Daphnia pulex: one gene and its partner. The protein of the gene in region 1 purifies or fractionates together with the protein of each later gene. This does not show direct contact. Links are inferred from orthologs where the notes say so. Each region holds a gene or a part of one and is shown in the gene's direction. Other genes may lie near its edges.

Region 1 (7,998 bases):
CCGATCGAGCCAACAGCAAACAGCCGAGCGTGAGACGCGAGTCGAAAAGCGCCGAGGTCGTTGGCAAGGGCGTCAAGCGCTCCGACTCGTTGACCAAGAACGAGAAGACGGAGAGCAACACGAAAGCGCGCGAGCGGGAAATGAGGCAGACGGGCGGCCAGAAAACGGCCAAGAAATTCGTCCAACGGAGCGGCGAGTCTGGGCTCAAGCGGCGCCACACGGTCGGCGGCACTCGCGATTTCGACAAGGTGATTTTTTCAACTCGGTTCCCATTCCACTCGTCGTCGATCCCTTTTGCCCAACGTGTGTTCCAGGAGTTTGATACGATTTGCTTGCCAAAGGTGCGGATCCGCTGGCTGGCCGACAAAAGTGATGAGAGAAACGTCATTCCGGCTCCACGCTGGTCGGCCTGGGACCGTCTCCAGCCCTTGATTAGCGACGAGGATCTCAACGTGGACCGCAGTCTCAAGACGTGGATGCGCAGCGAGCGCATCAGGACCAGCTCGCCGGAATTGTGTCGCAGATCAGAAATGGCCTGCGCCACCATCATCAACAACAGTTTGTCGCCACCGCCACTAACTGATTCGCAGCCACTCGAGGCCCCCTCGTCTGCCATCCGAGCGGATGGAGACGTTTCCAGCCCGTGAAAAAATGAAACGGTGTGGCAGTCAAAAGAAAGAATATTGACGTTTTGCATGGGGAAATTCTAAATAATAAATCAGAAAATTCTATTTTTAAAAAAAGTTTAAGAAAAAAGGAGAAAGTAAAAAAAAATGTCCGTTGATGGCGGGAATTTGTTGTTTCGAATGACATCAAATGACTTTTCATTTTTTTCTTTTCTTTTTCATTCAAACAAAAAAAAAAAAATGTTCAATGTAAATGTTTTTCTGTTCGTGTTGATTGTGTACAGATGAAAATAGTAGTGCGTCGCGTCGGTCGGGTTCCTCCACCCCCCCCCCACCCCTACCACCACCACCCTTAAAAGCTGTGATGATAATTTTTATTTTTTACCAAAAACAAAAAGTGTACATTCAAAACAAAAAATCATGGCTCTCTTATGGCGCGGCACGATCGTCTGCCCGTCGTTGGCCCATTCGCACGCACTTTCGCCATTTTGTAATGTTCTGAAAACATGTTTCCTCCCGTGAAAAAAACAAACAAAAATATTGTGTAGTACAGTGATTTACATAACGACCTTCTTTAACCTGAATTATTTGATTATATATGGGATTAGTACGCTTGACGTGCCGTCCATTCATTTTCTTGCTCTCTATATATCTCTTGTTGCGTCAGCCATGACAGAAACTTTTAACAAGACAAGATATAATAAAAGAGAAAATAAAACTAAAAAGGCATATGGCAATTTTTGGATGCCACAAGAATAAAACGTGACAAATGAAATTACACTGATTTAAATTCAAGTTGAACTTTTTTTATTGAAATTTAATACCAAGTGAATTGTTTAGATTTCGAGATCGTCGTCAGGGTCTTCGTCGTCCCAATCGGGTGCTTCCACTTCGTAAATGATTTTACCCCTGGACGGTTCGCTTGATGACTCGTTGTGCTTTCTAAATTTATCAAAAATTAGCGCTTAATATTAGATTGTGTTGAAATGGAGATGTATGTCGATGTTACTTGATGTAAGGTAAAACGACCTGACTCCTAGCCTGTTCTTCTCTGGCATTCAAATCTAATTTGAAAGTTGACTTTGGTACTGCACTTTTTGGTAAAGAGTCTGGCATAACTGCAGGTTGAGTTTCAATAAACTCTTTGACATCTTTCAACTCCCATTTATCTGTGATGCTGTAATATTCATCCTGTGCAAAAAAAAAATAATTCAAATTTAAATTTTTGCTACACGAGAAACAAGTACTCTTTACACTATCAGTAATTTTTCCACTGGCTTTCCTCCATGTGCCACTGCAGAGGTTGCGTCCCTGTGCTCTGCGAACAGCCAGGTGACAAGGGAATATGTAATTCAGTGCTTGCAGAGTGTGCTTATCATGGACATCACCATGAACTAGGGCAATCACAGATACTGTTGCTAGAAACCATTTCAAATAGAGTTTATATAAAGCTGTAAAATTACACAGGTTGCACAATCTTACTTGTCTTTTGTAAATTCCTCAAGGCTGACGCAATTGCCCCAACAGTCCAATTCAGAAGCAGGGGTGACAGCGAGTCTATCGCAACCAAAACCTGGTCATTTCTCGCTTCTGATGTCCAAGAATTTTCGACTGACATTAAATCTTGATTCCCATCCACAATGGATGTTTTCCACGAAATTTTTAATTGTTCCATTTCGGTAATTTCAGAAGATAGAGGTGAATCGTATTTGAAGTAACGAATGGAATAGCCATTCTCGGAATAGTGACGAATTAAACTTAAGAACAAAGGTCGTCCTTTAAGTGAACACGAATCTAAGGATTAAAAAAAAAATTGTAATAAGGATTATGTTGTCAAAAATATCCAATTAACCTTGAATTAGAGTAGAAACGGGAGGCTGAGTTAAAATGTCTTTCAAAATCATTTTCGTCGAACACTGCACGAGGCCGTTCGTCGTCTGCTTGTTATTGTTTATTCGTGCATCGTGATTTGCCGCTTAGGTAATAGATGGCAGCAGATTAGCGAAGGAAATGAAGTGAACAATTTTATGCTTCGTTCCTCCTAAAAACCCGGTGTTTTGGGTTGATTGTTCAATTTGACATTGTTTATTTCCTTATTAAAAATTGTTGAAAGGCTGGTTTTGTAGCTTTCATTAGACCTTTACTCTTCGTTTCATGGTTTGTTCACGCTAAAATGTTTTCATCCAACATGTGAGTTGCCCAACTGTTTACCTTTTCAGCCTAGGTCATGTCTAAAATGGACCAGGCTTCCAAAGAAGCATGGCAGTGGGTTGAAAGCACAGAAGCTGGAGCCATAACAATTGATCATATTCAGACTTCGTACAGGCTAAAAGTTGCCACTTGCAAACCTGGAAAATGCAAGTAAGTATTCATCTTGCTAGAACTTACCGAACTTACTTCTGTACTCCCAGACCAGAAAAGAAAAAATAATGCTTCCTCTCATTTGAAGGAAAAACTGCAAAATAAACCCCCGGTGCCTTGTTGGACTAGGAGAGAAGGTATGGTTGGAAGATTTGAAGGTGACTGAAGAAGAACAAGAGGACCCTTGTGACATTGTGCGGAAAGAGGGCAATTTCGTTGGGCTGACCAATCTGGGAGCAACTTGCTATATCAATAGCCTCCTGCAGCTCTGGTTCCACAACCCCATATTTCGTAAAGCAATCTACTCCTGGGTTCCATTCTTTGATCCATCAGAGAAAGAAAACAAAACTCTTGACCTGCTAGGAATGGGGGGTTTCATTCCAAATTCCCCAGTGGGTAAACTACAACTGCTGTTTGCTCAAATGCAATTTTCTAAAAGAAGGTATCTTCAATGTTCCGTTTACCAAATGTGATTTTCAAACTGACTCTTTTTTTTCCAGTTGTGTTAACCCAACATCACTGATCACCTCACTCGGGATTGACACCACCACCCAGCAAGATGCCCAAGAATTTTCTAAATTGTTTCTTAACCTGTTAGAAGACAAACTCTCACTCCAAACAGACACGACAGTTTCTACCATGGTTTATGATCAGTTCAGAGGAGAATATGAATATGTAACAAGGTAATTTGGTTCTTGTACAACCATATAGAATTGTTAAATATAAAGAATGGATTTCTACAAATTTCTAGGTGTTCAAAATGCCAAAAGGAGTCATCAAGTCCTTCAGCTTTCTACGAGTTGGACTTGAGCCTTGGTAGTAAGAGCGACGTTACGTTGGACGAATGTCTTGCCGAGTTTTTGCATGAAGAAAAACTAGAAGGGACAGACCAGTACTTTTGTGAAAACTGCAGTAGCAAACAGAATGCGACGCGGAGCATTCGCCTTCGTCACTTGCCCGCCATGCTCAACATTCAACTCTTGCGATTCGTTTTTGATCGGTACCGACATTGATTAAAGAATCTCTAGAAAGCATGACGACGTTTTTTTTAATATTCACATTTCTTGCCAATGTAGGAAAACTGGACTGAAGAAGAAAGTCAGTTCCATGGTGCATTTTCCTTTTGTCGTCGAAATGTCAAACTACGTCAAAACTCAGGGTGTGGAACCTAGCAGTCTTACTTACGACCTTTCGGCCGTATTAATTCACCGAGGACCCAGCGCCTACAGCGGGCATTATATAGGTGAGAAGCTTTTCATTATCCTGATTCTAGTCAATATTTATTTCCTTGACGTCTACTTTTTATTTTGCAGCACACATTAAGGACCCAGTAACTGGAACTTGGTACAAGTTTAACGACGAAGTTGTGCAAAAGATTGAGGGCACCAATTTCAAATTGGGAATCGAAGAAGACTTGGAAGGTAATGTATCACTGTGTGTGTTTGGAAGTAATTAAAGCTAAATTTTTCCGTCTTTTACATTTCATTTGCAAGATTCTAAAAAAGGTCGAGCTGGTGCCAAAGTTACTAAAGGGAGTCATGGTTCCAGCAACGCATACATGCTCGTGTATAGTCGACGGGATGCTGCCAAACCAGAAAGCGTTCCTGCTTGCTCTACAACCCCATCGCTGTCAGATCCCTGTTCTGTTCTGCCTCCCTGGGTTCAAACTACTATCTTTAACGAAAATGAAAACTTCGAAGCCTGGACCCGGGACACAGTCTCTCGGAAAGTAAATCATTAAACATTCTCATTTTCATGTTTTTTCTATTGATTGTAAAGCTAATGCATTTTCTCACTAGGACGAAAGTTTGAAGAAGAGTAGAGAGAAGCATTCCAAAATGAGACGTTTATACGGCAGTCTTCCGTGCAACTCGCTGGATCAAGGTGAATTTATACCTACCCAGTGGCTGTCGAGTTGGCTGGGAAATGACGAGAAGTTAAGACCAATTGACAATTCCATTTTACTCTGTGAGCACGGCAAACTGAACCCAGAGAAATTCCGAGAATACAAACTCGTTTCTTCCAGCGCGGTAAATGAGTTTGTCGCGGTAACTTTGATTATCGATTATCAAAACTTAACATTTCCTATTGACTTTCCTCAAAGGCTGACGAGTTGTACGCCGAATATTCTGGTGGCAGACGTCTGAACATCAACGACCTGTGCTGGGACTGCGTTACGACTAAATGCATCACGAGTCAACTTCGGTCTCAACTGGACAACGAAAGCAAATTGATTGCAAATCTGCTGAAAAGCAAAATCGATCCGTAATGAACTTTAAAAACTCTTTTTCTGATGGTGCCTTTCTAATCAATTGTTATTCGTTATTCGCAGAAACCAACCCGCATTCTGGATCGGCAAGGAATCTTTACGCTCCTGGAAGAAAATGGTGCTCGAGCGGATGGTGAATTCTGAACGGGAATCGATGAAAGTAAAAAATGGCGTCGATAGTGCTACCAATCAAATCGAAGAAGCAACCATTTCCGATCTGCCCATCACATCGAAACATAAGGTAGACTATCCGTCTTTTAAAAAAGCCGATCAAATGTGTAACATAACGCCATTTTTTACCAGATGGAAAGAAAGCGAAGCAACGGGCAGTATAATGGAAGCCGTTCGATTGTTTCGGAACGTTTTGATCGGCAACCAGATCGAAGCGAGTGGCAAGTTGAGTTTGAAAAAACGTTGGAATGGGAAAACAGGCCCTCGTCTGCGTCTTCTGTAGGAGAAATAGGATTCAATGAAGACCTATTATGCCCTCACGGTATGTTCATATCAAATTCCATCCGCTAACAGTGAATTGATCAAAGACGTTTTATTTGATTCTAGATAAACTAACTGCCGATGAAGGACCACGTAGGCTGATCCATTCGGCTGTTTGGGAAATACTACATCGTCACTTTCCCGAAGCCATTGAATTTTCCTCATCTGAACCCCCCTGCGAAAAGTGCATTGTAAATATTGAAAGGACACCATTGCCGGTTGCTTGCATTATTTTAATTCTTGAATTCCTCACGACAGAGAATGGCGGAACAAGAAGGTCAGACCAAGGAGTCGAACCGACTGTTGGCCATGGAACAAAAATCGTTGCTTCAGGATCTGTTTCGATCTAAAAACCGTCCGGATCCTTTTGCGGTACAAAATGGCGAAATTTACGTCATCGCCAAGGAAGTGATCGACAAGTGGAGATCCTTTGTCAGGTATGTGTGTGTTTCATTTCTGTAGTGTAGGAGAGTTGACTGGTGTGAGCGATGCACTACAGTGGCCTTGTGTTGTCGTTCCTTGTCGTACTTTCTCTCTCCTCGATGGAGTTGTATTTTTACTCGATTTGTCACAAGTTGGGCCCCATGCCGACGAGCGCTTGATGGATCGGGTTCTTTGTTTTGTGCCAGCTCTTCTATCTTCCTGCAGCCCTGCCTTCTTCCCTTTTTTTTCTTTTCTGTATCTCTCTCTCCTCGACCCTCGCTTTATTTTTTCTCGTTTTCGGTACTTTTTGGCGTTGTTTTTTGGGTGTTTCTATTGCGCATCTGAGGATCGTCGTAGGTTCTTTGGGTATCAGGCAAAGAGTATGGTCCAGTGATTACGCTATTGCGCCCTTTGTTGATTCAGCTGCGTCTGTTGTCACCCCGCTGTGCCTAGATTGTTTCCAGCCAGAGGTTTTCCGACTCCTCCGAGTTGAGTTACCTAGGCTAGGCTCGGTTGCGAATTGACGGCCGAGTGAAGTGGGCGGAGGAGAAGAAGAAGAGCTTCGCTTGTTTCCTTCTATCTTGACATTGGCATTGGCTTCTCGTGTTTTATTTTGTTTGGATTTGTTTTTTCTTCTTCTTTTTTTCTCGTATTATTTTTTTGCTATTGGCGCGTGAGTGGCGCACTCGAGAGAAAGAAGCGCATCTGACATCTTGACTGAACGTTTGGCATGTCGTGCCAAGAAACGATGCTGCCTGGGATGGCAGGCACGCCTTGCGCCTCGCTTGTAGGAGGGAAATAAATAATGTTGTATCATTATTATTCTCGTAGATTCCCGTTTGATCGGCTAAACATTTAGGGCGCTCTCCATCATCCGGATGAGTTTGTCAACGATAGAGACTTGAAAGACACAACCATCCAGGCAAAAGTCCCGTTCCTATCCGTCCTCGACGTTCTGTCAATCCCACCCTTTTTTTCTTTCTCTCTTTTTTACTTATCGGATTTTTTCGTTCGGTTTGTTGTGCATTATCAGCTTCGATGACTTGCTCTCATTCCCCAATGCACTCGGTCGCGGAAGGAAGCGCATCTCCATTTCTTACTCCTCCGTCCTCCTCCTCCCCCCTTTTGTTGTTCTTGTTGTTGTTGTTTTTTTGGAGGGGATTTATTTATTCACGTTACGGGAGAAAATCCGGAACTGTTGGCTCTCTATCGGAAAGTATCCCAATATAGTCGAATGCCGTAGATTGTTACGGTGTGTTGGCAATGTCGCTGTCGTGTCTCCAGACCCCGCAGTCACACACACAATGAAAGGAATGCCATCAAGCGTTTCGCCAGTCGATAGAGACGGATTGAAATCAAACGGGAATCACGCGACGCCACGTTTCGGGGTAACACGATGGAATTGCCAGTGTGTGTGCATGCCGGCCATCTTTCTTTTCTCCTTTTTCCCCTCCGCACTCAAATAATCCCCGACATTGATGATTCAGATTGCATTTCTTTCTCTCCACTTTGGACTCTTTTGTCTCTCCAGAAATATTCGCTCGTCTTTCATCTTCGCGTCTAGTCCAGTCAGGACGATCAAACGAAATTGAATCGACTAGACGGAAACTTTGACGGAATAAAAAATGTACAGGCCTAGCTTATCTGGGTTAACCCATTTTCTGACAAGTCAATCGAATCCATTTCTTTTCCTCGAGTAGCCATCAGCGGTTTGGTTCTTTTCCAGTTTGATTCGGTAAATCCATCACTAACCAATAATGAGCCACCAGAGATCAGCCGATCGACGACGACCGTTTGTTAAAGGAAAAAAAAAAAGAATATTCGATT
Region 2 (8,016 bases), on another chromosome or scaffold:
ATTTCAAGTTACTGAAGGATTGGCCAAATGTTGGATATCTTGTGCGGAATCATCTTCTTCCCATGGGGCGTCTCCTCCAGGGTCTTTCATGAAAGCAATGAAAGAAGGGACACTTTCCTTCCTATCATAGTCTTTGTGAAATTCACCATCCTTGTAGTGCTTAAGTACTCGTGGCTCAGGTTTGATTTTTAAACTCTTACAGAGTTTTTTCCCTTCACTATTTGAGCATAAAACGAGTTCAGCCAAAACAAAATATTATAAATGTGCAAAACAAGAAAAGTACCCTCCACAGTCAGCTGTAACAATTGTTCCAGTTCCACGAACAATATCGGCAACTTCAGCTAATTGCTTGATCACATTTGATGAATCTTTCAACGATTTGGTGAAGCAAACTAAAACACTTGTCCGTGTCTTCAAAAGCTTTTTGAATTCTTTCAAGTCTGAAACCTCGTCGAGGGTGGATTTCTGACCGGCTTTTTTCCCACAACAGCTGAAGAACAACATGCAAAATACCTTTCATGAATAAAACACTCATTAGACTACAAAACGAAATAGATTTTAATATAGAGTAATTCTTACGAAAAACAACGTGATCTTCATTTTGGTAGAAATACTTAGGATATAATATGAAAAACTCATACACCAAATTCCGATTTATATAAAATTATTCGAAAACCTCTAGACAAACGTCATCCTTGGATTGCCAGTCAAAAGAACCGGTCGTCAATGCAATACACACCACCTGGCGAGTACAACTACAACTGTAGAACGCCAAAAAATTTCAATTTACGACAACGCAACACACCGCGGAAAACTTGATTCTTATAAAGGCATGCTTAGGGACTTAGGCGACTTAGGGTTCCAGGTAGACTCCCACTGATTAAAGGCCTACATTAATAAAATGACAAGAAGGGAATAAAACATTGAAGATTGACATGTTGCATAGGCCCTACCTGCAGAAGAAAGTCTTATGTTAGATGTAATACAGTGAGTAATTTAAAAAAAAATCTTAGTCAAATTTTAGTATTTCGTTAAAATATTATTAACCGAGGGTTCTTAACAATCTCATGATTATGGTTAGAAGCTCCACAGGTAGTAAGTTAGTAACTACTGTTAGATTCTGAAAAATTGCTCATGCTGGGAGGAGAGTGGGGTTGCAAAATAGAGTACGTCAATTTACCGGTATTTATGCGTTTACCCTTTAACTGGTTCTGTACAAGCATATAAAAAACAATTATGTTGTTTTGAAATTTCTTCATTGAATCCGTACAATAAAATTGTCCGCATTCAATGTACGTAATGACGTCCACGATCAAAATAATCACTAAACGGTGCGCCTCATTTTAAATTTGTATTCATGGTCCACAACATTCACATTTAGTAGACTAATGCAGATACAAGCGCAAGGGATGTAATGAACAAAAGTTTAAGGAGGCACCAAACCGTGCTTTCCGGTAATCATATAATTAACTAACAATTTGTGTAACCCATCATTCATTTTGAGTTGCATTTCTGAGACGCTATAAAAGCTGGAATGAATACTCACATCCACGGTAGAACGTTTTGGAATCTTGTTGACGGAAGAGTTCTCCAACTGATCACTATCAAAGGTAATGTACAGATTTGATTTCATTCGGCTAAGAAATTTTTAAAAATTATTTATTAGTTAATGCTGACTGTATGTTACCAGATATTGCGCTGCTTTAAAATCTGCAATGGCTTTTCAACTTCTTAACAAATCGGCTAAAACTAGGCTGGTAGTTTTACTAATCATGGCATCTTTAATTTTGGCGGAGCAACCACCCGGAATTTCAATTTTTCCGCATCCACTTTCTAAGCACTCGTTTACTGAAATTAGTAAATGTGAAGGTGTTTATGACATGAATATTTATGCCCAATTTAATCAAATATGTTTGAACTGCTACAACCTTTATCGACAACCGGAAATTTATCGCGGGTGCCGGTAATGAATTCGCATAAGCTTATAGATTTTATAGTACTTGGTTAACAACATATACTTCCGAAAAAAAAATTACCGCAATTTATTTATCTTTGCAGAAAGGATTGCTTTACTTCCGAATATTTTGGAGGTTGCTTGGCTGTTCTACAAATAACTGATAAAAAAGACAAAATCTTGGAAGATTTATCCATTATTCACCGACAAATGGAATCACCCAAGGAAAATTAATCCCGACAAGTTTCTAGTAAGTTTACATGTTCTTGACTAAGTAAAAAGCTCTTCGACTAATCCTGACAAAACTCTTGCTGATTTGTATAAAAATTTCAGGGCTTTCCGAACGTTCTCTAGTTTGTTCCTGTCAGTGATTGTGATTTAAATGAAATCGACCTTCTCCTTTTTAACTTAACTTTTTGGTGCGTCGCCACTAGCAGTTTTTACAGACATACAGACTTACAGATTCGGTTGAAACCGAATTACGACCGTAACTTGTCTGTAAAAACTGTTACTGTAGACGTAGCCTTTAGCCAACACGACACATACTACACTTCTACCCACTAGTCATACATATGTTGGTAATTTATTTGTTTCTTACGATCAGTTAAGGAATCATAATTGAAAACCCAGACTGCATTATGCTTAGAGTTACAGTTAGCTTACAGGCACTAGGATTCCATGTAGTTTACCGTGTAAACCAAGTGATTTCTCAGTATTACCGTGTCGTTAACGTTTTCCCCGGGCAAGTTTGGTGTTGTATTCTGATTGTATCACAGAGTCAAATATATTACAAATGCTATTTCCATTGTGCAGCATACTAAAAAAATCTGTTTTAACTTTTATTAATTGTTCATACAGGAAATGCTCGTTATTTGTAAATCTCTAGAAACGAGTTACAGAAATTTACGAATGTAACTTTGCGGGTTGCGATTTGCGAAGTTGAAGTCAAGTTTTAATTTTGAAAAATTTTGACACGCGCTCATCTAGGCAGGGGCAGGTGTTACTTAGAAAGCAGCATTTAAAAAAGTATTACGCATTTTCAAATTTTCAAGCTTCTCTTATTTTATTCTTATTTAAATACAAATAATTTTCCCATTTTACGTGGAAGTAAAATTTCAATATATTTATTTATTAGAAAATTGGTGCCCCTGTGTAGTTTGACTTGAATGACGGCCGCTAGTTTGTTTGTGTTAGTACGGGAATTGTTGACGTTTACTAGCTTCATTAAAATCACAAAAAAACAAAGTGAAGTTTGTTACATATAAAACATGTCTTGCAATTATGCTGATGGGTTATCGCCGTACGAAGACAAGGGTAAATTAGGAATACCTGAGGTATTATCATATTTCATAAATTTCTTAGTTATTGATGTGATTTTTCCGCCTACTAATAAGAAATGTTCTGTCATTAACAGAAATTTGACAGTTTGGATGAGGTTGCTGGAAAAATTTTAATTTTAGCCAAATGGATAAAAGAAGCTAAGCATGTAGTCATGCACACTGGTGCTGGCATAAGTACACCAGCAGGAATCCCCGATTTCAGGTATACCAATAAAAGACTATGGTCAAATTCACTAAACACTATGCAAAATACAATAGGGATCATGCATACTGTTTTTACAAGTATTCTTCTTACATATTCACACAAAAACCCATATCTAGTTTTACTGTAATTAGAGTTTATATCTACTTTTTTTACAGGGGCCCTAAAGGTGTGTGGACGTTGGAGAAAAAAGGCCTGAAACCACAAATCAATGTTTCGTTTGATGATGCAGAACCAACATTCACACATATGGCGATTATTTCATTATTCCAAACAAACTATCTGCACTATGTTGTTAGCCAAAATATTGATGGCCTTCATTTAAAATCAGGATTAGACAGAACAAAACTCTCAGAGCTGCATGGCAATATGTTCATCGGACAATGTAGCCTGTGTTCTAGGTAAGGAACAAGAAAACAAACTTGGGCATGGCCATGTGTTTATAACAATCGATATTGCTTTACAGGCAGTACATTCGCCGAAAAGCCGTAACTTCTGTAGGTCAGCGGGAATTACCAGTTGATTGCCCTGCCTTGAAAGGAGGCAAACTTTCATGTAGAGGAAAGCTACACGACACTATACTTGATTGGGAACACGAACTACCAACCAGAGATTTAGGATTGGCAGACATTCATTCAAAGTTAGTCATTTGGATTGGTTGAATAACTATGAAGAGTTTCACTAATTTAATTTTGAAACTAAAAGTGTCGCAGACTTAAGTATTTGCTTGGGAACAACTTTGCAAATAGTCCCCAGTGGTACACTACCATTAGCAACGAAACGTAAAGGAGGCCGTCTCGTCATCATAAATTTGCAGCCTACAAAATGGGTAATTCATTATAAAATATACTTATTTAGCCGTTCATTTTGAATTTCCTCTTTTTTTTATTGGTTTCTTAGGACAAGAAAGCCGATCTGGTCATCAATACTTATGTGGATGACGTGATGAAGTTACTGCTCAAAGAATTGAACACCCCTTGGTTGCCTTACGATCCCAAATGTGATCCTACCCGTCAACCGCTAAGTGAAAAGGAAATGTGGCAGGAAGAATTTACAAAACGAGAGTGGACACTCGGGGCTCGTGCAGTCAGTACAACACGCAAACGACTTTCACACCCGGAAAATAAAGCCGAGCCTAAGGCCAAGAAAACAAAAGACAAAAACCAAGAGAAGCCAATTCCTTGCCAAACCAACAACTCCGCCAACGCTAGTGGGGAAGGTAGTAAACAAGATGCGGAGGTGGACTCTGTCAAAGTTGAAGAAACTGGAGATGAAATCACGAATTTAAAAGAAGAAAAACAAAATGACGATCTAGTTAACCAATCTGAAACAATCGTTAAACAAGAGTCCGCTCAGTTGCTACAGGAAAATGGGAGTGTGTAATCCATCGTGAAGTCATAGTTACTGAAAATGTGCATAATAACAGGGAAATTATCTACATAAAAATGTGTCGACAATAAAGAAATCCAACGCGTTAATTGCATTTCATAGACGGTCTCATCCAACGTGGAATCCCTACCCCTCCAAACTTTCGTTTTATTTCTACTCTGTTCGTTTTATTTCACGTGACTTTTGGTTTCGCTGTGTTTTTTTTTTGCTTGCCCACAGACTGTCTTGAAGGCAAGAGATCAACTTCGTACCCTTATTTGAGTTTGTCTAGCGTTTCTGTATTGATATTAGATCTGTCGCCACTCGCCAGACATCACCTTGTTCTGATTTTTAATGCGATTACTTTTATATCCTCCTAAACTAAATAGAAAGAAATTGATCCGGAATTCTGAAAATATGATATTCTTTTGTTTTTCTAATCCAAGCAGTATCAGGAAAAACTACTGTATAACTTATTGTTCTTTAAAAAAACAATAAATTATTGTCAAAATGAATGTCGCTACAGTATGTTGGGAATAAAATCGGATTTTGATGGATAAGTCTAAACTATCATATCAGTGTTTCATGTCTACAATGAATAACGATTTACTAACCACCTACCTTATTCAAATTTCTACCGGAGATCTGTTTCTGGTCTGTGATTTCTCAAGAGGCTCTGATGAAATGAGCAGGGGCGTGGCATTATTTCCTCAAATTGTCACTGCAAATTGTAGTGAAAAAAAATTAAAATTAATAAAACAAACAAAAATTCGTTTTCATTCGTTTCACTTCATATCTTTCTTTCGCTTTTTTGTCATGTTTACCTACTGATGATTAGACAGCAAGAGGCAACACAAAAGTAAACTTGCTTAACGTTGTAATATTTACACATCTGCAAACGTCACTGTGTCCGTATTCCTTTCAAATGATTACATATCCTCAACAGTCAACAGGCCTCTAAACTTAAGTGGAGGTACAATATTCATAGACGTGTAGCAACATGATTCGATTAAAGCAAAGAAAATCGAAACTTATTGCGCCTTCTCCATGTTGAAATAATCACGAATTGATTTCTCGTTGACTGTATATGAACTAAACATCGAGTACAAACTCGTACAAACTCGAATGTTTTTTGTTTATTTTATTTTTATGCAACTAGTTTGACGTCAAATTGATTATCTCCATTAGCCTACTATCTCTTGTCTTGTCAAATATTATTCACGCAACCCAACATTTAGGGGATATAATCTGCAGTAGGGAACTAACGACCTAAACGTTCAGTAGTGCGTTTTATGTTCGCGATGAAACTATTATTATTAAATATTCTAACGGCAACATTTTTGGGCCTTGTTTCCTCTCAGAGCCTAGTGCTAGTTGGAGGCGGCCTAACCGACGGAAATGCCGAAATTTGGAACAAAGTGGTCACGCTTGCGGTACGAATAACAAATTCTAATTCACAAGAGTACAGTATGTGCATGTCTATAATTTTATAATTAATTTCTAATTTCCTTTCAAGGGAGGGAAAGGTGTGGCCAAGATCGGGATATTCACTACGGCATCTTCAGATCCCATAGGAGCGGCTGAGTACTATGTTGATATGTTCGTGAACGTGTACGGGGCGGCCAGCGCGACGTATATTCCAGTTACTGAAACTAGTAACAATGCCGACGACCCATCCGTAGCCGAACTGGCAAGACAACAAACTGGATTTTTCTTCGGTGGAGGCGATCAACTGAGGATTCTTACAGCCCTTCGTCCTAACGGCAGAGACACGCTAGTTCTAACTGCTGTCAAAGATATGCTAAAAGCTGGCGCAGTAGTGGGAGGAACCAGTGCCGGGACCGCTTGCCAAGTATTCGATTTAACATTTTGACCCCTACTTCATTTAAAGAATGAAATTTGTATAACTGAATTTTAGAGCTCGGCTGTCATGATCACAAGTGGCGCTAGTTGGGATGCTTTGACTTATGGGGCTTTCAGTGGAGGACCTAAACCACTTCGTTCAAATGACCTAACTTACGATGAAAAGGGTGGACTAGGTTTACTAGACGCTGGCTGGGTAACTGATACGCATTTCAGCGAGCGTGGTCGAGAAGGTCGCCTCATTCGGTTGGTCTCTAGCTACTAAATATAAAAATCATCTTACCTTTATATTTAAAAAAATTCCAACAGGTTGTTGCAGGATACCAAGGGCCGTGATATCGGAACTCCTCGAGGCTTTGGTGTGGATGAAGATATGGGCCTTGTCGTCACGGATTTGTACACAAAACCTGTCGGAACTGTATGATGGAAAACATCTTGTAGTTTCAGTTTCTGTTCAAAAGATTTTACAGCAATTGACAAATAGGTTATCGGTACTAGTGGAGGCGTGTTTTTTGCTGATGTTACCAACACGGTGGTTGTTCCATCTCAGAATACTTTTTACACGGGGGTTTCAGCCCACTACCTAACTCAGGACGACTCGATTGATCTCACCACTGGTATACAAAATCAACATTTTCAAGTGGATAAATTTGGGCACAAGTTAACGTAATCAATTTGATATTAGGAAAAATCACATTTGCAAGTTGGAAGTCTCCCCTGAGAGGTAACGAATATTACACGAACGCCGACGTGTCCACTGATATTCTATCCGCAAATTTGAATCGTCGATGGGCTACCTTTGCCGACCAGTTTTTTGACAATAGAAGAGATGATTTCATCGCTCATTTATCTTTCGAGAGGGATCCCCGATTCGAAGTTACTTTTGACCGTCTGAATGGTGCTGGATACGGCGGATATTTTCCTAGCGATCCCAGCACATTCGTTGTGTCCTACGAAAACCTCCAAGTTGCAATCCATGAAAGTACAACTATTGGTTAAATGTGACATAGGCTTTTGGCGCTTTCCTAGAACACACGAAAATGAGCTTTAGGGGCTCTACAGTAGTTTACTAATACACTGATTCAGTTGTTTATCTGCAAAATCAAAATGATCGGATTCTTTTTATTTTATTTCAAACTTTGAAAATTGAAATCTTCTAGCTAAAAAAGGAAACATATGAGAGTATAAAAGACATATTTTTACTTGTCAGTGTTAACGCGCTTAAATAAGACGAATAAAAATATACTACCTTACTACTAATCGCCTGAACTTAGACGTAAATAACTACA

The links. Proteins that work in one complex are often made in the same cells at the same time.
Region 2: the proteins of ubiquitin carboxyl-terminal hydrolase 48-like (region 1) and NAD-dependent protein deacetylase Sirt6-like purify together in Homo sapiens (affinity purification with mass spectrometry; 3 studies listed by BioGRID, with this or other methods). This does not show direct contact. The link is inferred for Daphnia pulex from reciprocal best matches to the Homo sapiens genes USP48 and SIRT6.

The regions. Positions count from the first base shown.
Region 1 is NC_060018.1:12,842,990-12,850,987, reverse strand, and holds the start of ubiquitin carboxyl-terminal hydrolase 48-like, read left to right. Parts: upstream 1-2,595; 5' UTR 2,596-2,783; intron 2,784-2,845; 5' UTR 2,846-2,853; coding exon 2,854-2,987; intron 2,988-3,075; coding exon 3,076-3,429; intron 3,430-3,487; coding exon 3,488-3,670; intron 3,671-3,738; coding exon 3,739-3,987; intron 3,988-4,063; coding exon 4,064-4,230; intron 4,231-4,300; coding exon 4,301-4,408; intron 4,409-4,480; coding exon 4,481-4,716; intron 4,717-4,786; coding exon 4,787-5,017; intron 5,018-5,091; coding exon 5,092-5,252; intron 5,253-5,319; coding exon 5,320-5,497; intron 5,498-5,559; coding exon 5,560-5,749; intron 5,750-5,814; coding exon 5,815-5,939; intron 5,940-6,006; coding exon 6,007-6,185; intron 6,186-7,998. Other genes in the region: rho GTPase-activating protein 21-like, read left to right, coding at 1-248, 342-647; elongator complex protein 5-like, read right to left, coding at 1,463-1,568, 1,636-2,044, 2,109-2,420, 2,479-2,530.
Region 2 is NC_060017.1:7,951,316-7,959,331, reverse strand, and holds NAD-dependent protein deacetylase Sirt6-like, read left to right. Parts: upstream 1-3,105; 5' UTR 3,106-3,222; coding exon 3,223-3,288; intron 3,289-3,368; coding exon 3,369-3,496; intron 3,497-3,654; coding exon 3,655-3,897; intron 3,898-3,962; coding exon 3,963-4,136; intron 4,137-4,201; coding exon 4,202-4,325; intron 4,326-4,396; coding exon 4,397-4,879; 3' UTR 4,880-5,379; downstream 5,380-8,016. Other genes in the region: protein disulfide-isomerase A5-like, read right to left, coding at 13-217, 284-513, 580-639; ion transport peptide-like, read left to right, coding at 1,716-1,963, 2,059-2,183, 2,564-2,775; cyanophycinase-like, read left to right, coding at 6,157-6,297, 6,381-6,716, 6,783-6,973, 7,037-7,145, 7,212-7,344, 7,413-7,726. UniProt on the Homo sapiens protein: NAD-dependent protein deacetylase, deacylase and mono-ADP-ribosyltransferase that plays an essential role in DNA damage repair, telomere maintenance, metabolic homeostasis, inflammation, tumorigenesis and aging.